2 linked regions of the Arabidopsis thaliana genome follow. The protein of the gene in region 1 interacts with the protein of each later gene in a pairwise test. Each region holds a gene or a part of one and is shown on either strand. Other genes may lie near its edges.

Evidence for each region.
Region 2: the proteins of AT2G30160 (region 1) and ABCB26 interact in a protein complementation assay, tested with the Arabidopsis thaliana proteins (one large-scale study listed by BioGRID).

What each region holds. Positions count from the first base shown.
Region 1 is NC_003071.7:12,875,829-12,879,583, reverse strand, and holds the start of AT2G30160 (Mitochondrial substrate carrier family protein), read right to left. Parts: upstream 1,786-3,755; 5' UTR 1,569-1,785; coding exon 780-1,568; intron 414-779; coding exon 207-413; 3' UTR 1-206. Other genes in the region: AT2G30150 (UDP-Glycosyltransferase superfamily protein), read right to left, coding at 3,462-3,755.
Region 2 is NC_003070.9:26,620,125-26,623,879, reverse strand, and holds the start of ABCB26 (transporter associated with antigen processing protein 1), read right to left. Parts: upstream 1,982-3,755; 5' UTR 1,795-1,981; coding exon 1,345-1,794; intron 1,222-1,344; coding exon 1,094-1,221; coding exon of another isoform or gene 1,083-1,093; intron 940-1,082; coding exon 897-939; intron 808-896; coding exon 763-807; intron 665-762; coding exon 542-664; intron 452-541; coding exon 348-451; intron 232-347; coding exon 177-231; intron 95-176; coding exon 24-94; intron 1-23. Other genes in the region: AT1G70600 (Ribosomal protein L18e/L15 superfamily protein), read left to right, coding at 2,272-2,712; AT1G70590 (F-box family protein), read right to left, coding at 3,721-3,755.

The sequences.
Region 1 (3,755 bases):
AATGCAAACCAGAAAAAAGGCCTTGGGGTTGTTGTAACTCTAATCTGATAACATTATTGCGTGAAGAAAACAAATAAATTATACAAACAGAGATCTTCTCTAAGAGCTAGTGTTAATACTAACCAACCAGTAGCTAGCTCTATGAAGAATCAATGACCTGAATCAGGCAAGTAAATTATGCCAAACGCATGTATGTTTGTGTCTTTTCAAGCTGCGTTTGCTTCACCATTGAGATCTTGAAAGAAAGATTTGACTGTTTCATAAGTGGACCAGCAAATCGCAGCTGCTGGAGCATGGAAGAGCATTCTTGGTAGCCATCCTCTAGCAAGTCCTCTATAACCGTCTTTCTTCACTATTGTACGGAACACATCGCTTATTGAACTGCTCTTGAAACGGTCACAACCACACACACCCTGAAACATCACCACAAACAAACTTCTCAGAACAAACAAAACAACCCAAATCCTATGAAATAGCTATTGACCAAGTATTCTAAACCACAAATATAGAAACATTATCTATGCGACTTTCACATGTAAATTCAGTAATATTAAGTTTTATGACCATAGTTCTAACAATGCTTGATGCAATCTACATGTTACCTATAAAATCATACTCGTGAAATCACAAAATATCCAAAGAGAAGAAAGAAGATATCTTTCTTCATTCAAGTGATCTATAGGATCAAGAGACAACTACTTAAAGTAGCTTGGCCAATCTATAACCACATTAGCTATCAGATACTTAAAAGTCAGTAGCTTTAGAGATATTTCAATCACCTGACATTGCAACTGCGTCTTAACAACATCAAGCGGAGTAGTTACAGCAGCCGCTAACCCACCAGCCGCAGCTCCAGCAGTAGCATAAATCAACCAACCTTCCTCATCCTCTGCTCCAACAGCATGCTCAGGCAACATCTCCCTCAAACCTCTCTTAACCGCCTCATAAGTAGTGAAATGCACAGCGGTAAACGGAGCATTCATCAACACAGTAGTTCTATACGAAGCGTAAAAAGCACCAAACCCTTCCTCACGCGTTACTCTCTTGATACAATCCCAAACTCCTTTATAAGTTCCATTCCCAATTTGCAACCTTTGCTTAACCATATCCATTGGAGTAAACACAGCATCACTAGATATAGTAGCGAAAACACCGGAAATAGCGTGTGCAGCAGAGTTATTAGGGTTTCCACCGGATAAAAACTTCTTAGAGACTTCATAGAATGAGAAATAAACAGCGTGAGCTGGTCCAGCACCAAGTCCCATAGCCCAAATACCTCTATATAAAGCAGAAGGTCCATCGGTTTTGATAATTGAACGGAAAGCTTGACGGATTCCGATTGGTTTAATCGGACATGAACGAAGAGCTTGCATATGGGTTTTGACTGTATCTACTGGAAACATAGCCATGTGTTCGACTGAGCCAGCGATTGAACCGGCGACCATTAGTTGCCAGAATTTAAGAGTTGTGTTTTGAGCTGGAACGATGATTGCTGGATGAAAATCCGGTGGTTGTGGGATTGGACGGAGATCGGATTCTGGGAATTTGGTTGTTGCTTCTGTTGCCATTGTTTAGAATTGATTGAGAGAAAGGTTTGAGCTTTTAGGGAGATTAGGAGGAAGATGAATCTGAAGGAGGAGAGGTTTGGTTAAATTAGGGTTCCGAGAAGATTGGAGAAATGACCAAATCTGGAGATTTCTCCGACCAGAGAGAGAGGATGCGGCGGTTAAACTAAAGACAAAGCATGGGAGAAACCTCTGCCTTGTCTTGTGGGCTTTAACATCTTTTTCCCCAAGTAAAAATATATTTTTTGCCTTTTTACGTTTTTGCCTCTTTAGTGTTTTTTACCAAAACAAAAACGTACTTTTTTACTTTTTTTTTTTTTTTAAATCGTACTTTAATTTAAGCGATATGAACCTAACCAAAAAAACTTATTAGATTATGTTTATATTATGAATACGAATATTATTTTTTTGTCATCGTAAATTTTTAAAACTTTGGTAGAATTTAAATGTACACAAGTGGAAAAAAATTTATCCCTTGAAAACTAATAAGTGTTATCTATATTATTAATTGAGAAGTATTGTATGAACTACAACATTGTAAGGGTAGTTTAAAATTAAGTAAATGAATTTTTGCATGGGTAGTTTAGTAAATTAACAATCACTACAACAAAATAAATATCTTGGATTTTGTTCTTTTAAAAAATCGACTTTAAAATCAATATATTCATAATTACCCAATCCCTCGATTTTTAAATATACAAATTATTTTTAAATATATTAATCCAAGATGTACCACATGTCAATCCCTCGATTTTTTTATTATATTACAATAACAATATTTAAAATAACAAAATAATTTTTCATTTTACGGAATGAAATTATATGGTGGGATGAGTTTGAGTTGATATTAATAAAGGACGATAATCTACGAGTGAAATTTTAGAATTAATAATTATAACATAATTATATATTCTTAAACATTAAACAAAATAAACAATATTTACAAAATAACTATATCTTAAAATTTGAATTTTTAGTTACAAAAAAATCGACCAAAGGTGTACCACGGAGAAAATTTTACATTATATCATCTAATTGATCAAATTTCAAACAAAAACAATCAATTTATATATACATCAAACTAACAAAAATACACAAATTTTCTAAATATCTCTATATTATTCTACAAATCGAAACAAATCTAACAATCTATTTACTATGCAAAATACAAATAAAATATAAATAATATAAATTACAAAAAATAGCTATTTTATCATAAATAACACTTTACACTTTTTATGCATATTATAATTTATACACTATAATATCTTTCACTAAAAATATATTCCAATACATTTTTAAAAATATGAAACCCCGCACGTATACGTGCGGGTCAGAATCTAGTTATTTATAAACCGATAATTCTTAAAAACGAAGAACTCAAATCAAAAATAAAGTAAAAAAAAAATTGTCCTAAAGCATTAGATATCAAGTAAAATATTAAATTTACTGCAAAATATGTTAAAATATTGGTAGATAAAACATGAGATGTGTGAAAATCATTCCTATTAAGATCAGATTTTAGAATTTTATGCAGAATTGGAGTATTTTCTCTAACAAACTGAATAAAATCTTTACAAATCTACAGCTACAGCTTACACTTACATCCAATATTCTACAGCAAATAATCTACAGCTATAGTGTAACCAATCAGCCAGTAAGCTTTACCAAAATCAATTCATTTCATAAATTATTTTCTATATTTGTCTCCTCACAATTCATTTCCAAAGTCAAACAAAAATTAGGCACACACGAGATTAAGCTCTACCAAAGAGTCTAACAAATGAACTTATAAATAACAGTTTTACAAACAATCTTAAATCTCTACAAAGTTTGAATCTTTAACAAACTTATACAAATACTAATATAGACTTGAATCATTAACAACAATAGAACTCACACGATCTTAGTAATATCTTTAATGAAAGCATCGATGTTAGCATCAGAAGAACCACCTTTCGCAACCGCTCCACGACATATCTCACTGAGATCACAAGTCCTTCTTCTCATCTCTTTCCCTTCTTCACTCTCTCCATCCATAAACCTTTTTACCAATTCCTTGATCTCATCACTCACTATCAACAACTCCATCTGCTTCTTCCTCTCGATCCCCATTCCAACTCTCCACTCCTCAACAATCATCTTAGCATTCAGAAACTGATCCCAAAAAACAGGAAATGTAAGCAACGG
Region 2 (3,755 bases), on another chromosome or scaffold:
GTTTTCATGGAAACAGATCGCACCTTTTAAACTCTTGCTTCTCTGTCCCATATACACGAACGGTTCTCATCAAAGAGTATGTCTCTTGAGCGACCTTGAAGATCACAGAGCAGTTATTAACGAAAGAATTCATTGCATATAAGACAAGTTACGATAAGCGTTTTTGAGCAATCTACTTCATTTGCAGAAGCTGTGATCTCCTGAATTAGCTTCGCTGTCTTCTTTTGGTACCTACAACATGACCAGATGGCTTAAGTATCAGTTTCAGCTGCCAGGTGTATAATCAATTATATCTTCACAGATTAGTATTCTTAATAAAAGTGAGACAAGTTTTGGTAGAATCTCACATCCCATAAACGAACATAACCGCAGCCAAAATACAGCATATCACCAATGTGCACAGCCCAAGGGGCCAAGACAAAATTAGCAAATAAATCAATGCCCCTGTACCCTAAAAGAAAGAAGGTAAACATACATTCAGAAGTCAACCATGCAAAAAACACACTTCAGGCGAGATGGAAATTATATTGTAGCAGAGGACCTGAAGAACATTGCGAAATATCATGTTCAGATCATTTCCGATGACCCTCGAGACTTGCTGACAGTCTGAGCCAAGTCTGCTTGTTAAGTCACCAACAGTTTGAGAGTCGAAAAATGATATATCCTGATGCAAAATCCAGCCAAGTTAACGAAAGTAGCTAAAAAGATATTAAAGGTAAACATGAGCTACCAAGATTCAAAACAGCTAGAAACTTTCAGGACCTGGAAGAGAAGAGTGGAGTATAGTGTTTCCCTCATTCGTTTCACCTACAGAGTAGGGTGAGATCCCATCATATCATGTTCTGAGAAGGTAAGACTACTGAGTAGATTTAAGCAGAAAATAAAAAGGAACTCACAAGTATCATGTTAGCAATCCCAAAGAAGCATCCTCGTATGCCACTGAAATTATGAGTTGAACAAAGAGTCAGATGGAAATCCTTTTATAAAAGAATCTCAAAAACAACAAGTTGGTTAGACAGCAAGAGTAACTCTCTAATTCAACTTGAAACCAAATAAAACCAGAGACAAGTGTTTGATCATACAAGATCTTGACCTGCAAATGCCTGAAGTAACACATAACGTAACCAAGAGCTTGACATTTCGATGAAACACAGCGATATCACCACTTTGTGCCGAGAAGATCGAAGCTGTTAAAAAATGCGGAATAGTTATCTCTGAAAGCTGTAAACAAGTAAACAAAATGTATAAGAAAAGGACGATTCTGATTCCTCATTAGAACTAAGAATTTCTAAGTAGAGATTCAGAATACTTCTACAAATACATAACCAAGGAAGAACCACGCACCGCGGCTACTATAAGAGTGGAAAACGCAGCGAAGATAACCCAACGATCCTCAGCCACAAGTTCCCACATCCGACTTAACGCACGCCAAACAGTCACAGGCTTAGCAATGAACCTACCATCAACTTCATCGGAGAAACTCCACCAGCTTCCACCTGGTAAAATCGTCCGGAGGAAATCAATACATTGCCGGATTTTCTCAGCAAGTGAAACGTTATCTCCTTCTCCTTCGTAATATTCCGCAGTTTCCGCTACTGCTCCATTCACCGTCGAGCAATTAATCGAAGGCAGACGATAATTTCTAGTTGAAGATTGAAGAGAAAACGACAATCTCGGGTTTCTAACGAATCGGAGATTCTTCCTTCTGATAGTGTCACTGGTGGTAATAACAGAACACCGGTGAAGAGAAACGCGGATGGGGCGGCTCGTGCAGCCGAGTACTTGCTGAGCCATTTATGTTCGGTGGACTAAAGATGAAGAAGCTTCACGAGTCACGACGCTTCAAGCTTTTTCCTTGGTTCATATGAAATGCAGAAGAAGAATTAAAACGCGTCGTTTCGAAATTGAAGAAGAAAGACGTCACGTAAGGAAGAATCGTGTCAACCAAAATAAACCGAGGTGGAACCCACGGAGATCCACCACCGAAGGCATGAACCACATGGTAACAACAACAACACCGGCGCGTCAGAAAGGCGCGTGAAGGTTCAATCATGTGGTTGTGGTAGATGATCTCTCTTCCCCCTCTACGATATAATCGGGCCTAAAGGCCCATCTCGCGTTATAACTAAATAGCCCAAAATGTCGTAAACCCTAGAGGGTAAAATAGGAAACGTAAAAATCCTTATCGTCTTTATAAACTCAGTGATATCTTAAGAAACCCTAGCCGCAAAGAGAGAAAGGGAGGGAGGAGAGTGTAGCAGATCGGCGAAAATGACAACCAGATTCAAGAAGAACAGGAAGAAGAGAGGTCACGTCAGCGCCGGACATGGGCGTATCGGTAAGCACCGTAAGCATCCCGGAGGTCGTGGTAACGCTGGAGGTATGCATCACCACAGGATCCTCTTCGACAAGTACCATCCAGGTTACTTCGGTAAAGTTGGTATGAGGTATTTCCACAAGCTGAGGAACAAGTTCTTCTGCCCAATCGTTAACCTCGACAAGCTTTGGTCACTCGTCCCTGAAGATGTGAAGGCGAAATCAACCAAGGACAATGTTCCGTTGATCGATGTGACTCAACATGGTTTCTTCAAGGTTTTGGGTAAAGGTCATTTGCCTGAGAACAAGCCGTTCGTTGTGAAGGCGAAGCTTATTTCGAAGACTGCTGAGAAGAAGATTAAGGAAGCTGGTGGTGCTGTTGTGCTTACTGCTTAAGTTAGGTGAATTTATTTGCTTAACTCTGTTTTTGAATCTTCTATGGAGTTTTATCATCTTTTGTTGTCTTTTGGATTTTGGAAAGAGCGAGATCTCTTTAAAGTTAGTAGTTTTATGAACCTTTTGTTGGATTTTGATAAATGTTTGGTATTCCGAATTCAGACTTATAATTGCGTATGCTGGTTTAATTGTCTGTCATGATTCATTCGTTACGATCCTTTTAACTCGTTGTGATTGTTTCTACCATACATATGCATTGTTCTTGTTGAATTTTTAATTGGATGTTCGATTGTCATCAAAGTGAGAAGGTGTTGTTGCATTTGATTAGTTATATGTAACGTTGAAACAGCTAGAATGTGATTTTGCTTAGTAATGTATTTACGTAAATATGCGGAAATGCATTTCAAATTTCCCAATAGTACAGATTGTCACATAGATTTGAACGGAGTCAACATAGTCACATAGATTTGGACGAAAAAATAATGTGTTTGGATATTATACTGTATCCATCGTGTTTTTGATATTCTTCTATTTTGAACGGAGTTTTGAGATTCAAACTTTATTTTCAAGCAAGATCTGAAGAAATCGTTGAATTTTTCAAATGGTACGCTCAGTGTCGTGCTATGAGAAATGATATACCGTATGATATTTATCATATCGCATATGTTTGGGATAAGCTTGGTTTACATGTTATTCATATAAAGTTTGTGTTTTCAAATCATCATTACTTGTACACTACACCATGGAACATTTCAAACCCACAAAAGAAAACCAAAATCGAAACAATCTGTAATATTTATTATCCTACTGCAAACGCGGATTTACAATTTTGGTGGTATTGTGTGGATACAAATTTATCAGTCGCACCATTTGGATTAAAACATGAGTACGAACTAAAAGTAGAAATCTGAAATAAGGTTTTGTCATTGATACATTGTCAAATTGGAATTTAAGTTATGGACATGTAACTAGCCAATCACTAGACCTCACTGAAATAAATGATAGGAGTCATCGAGTAACTGGTAGAGGACGCCAGTTATTGG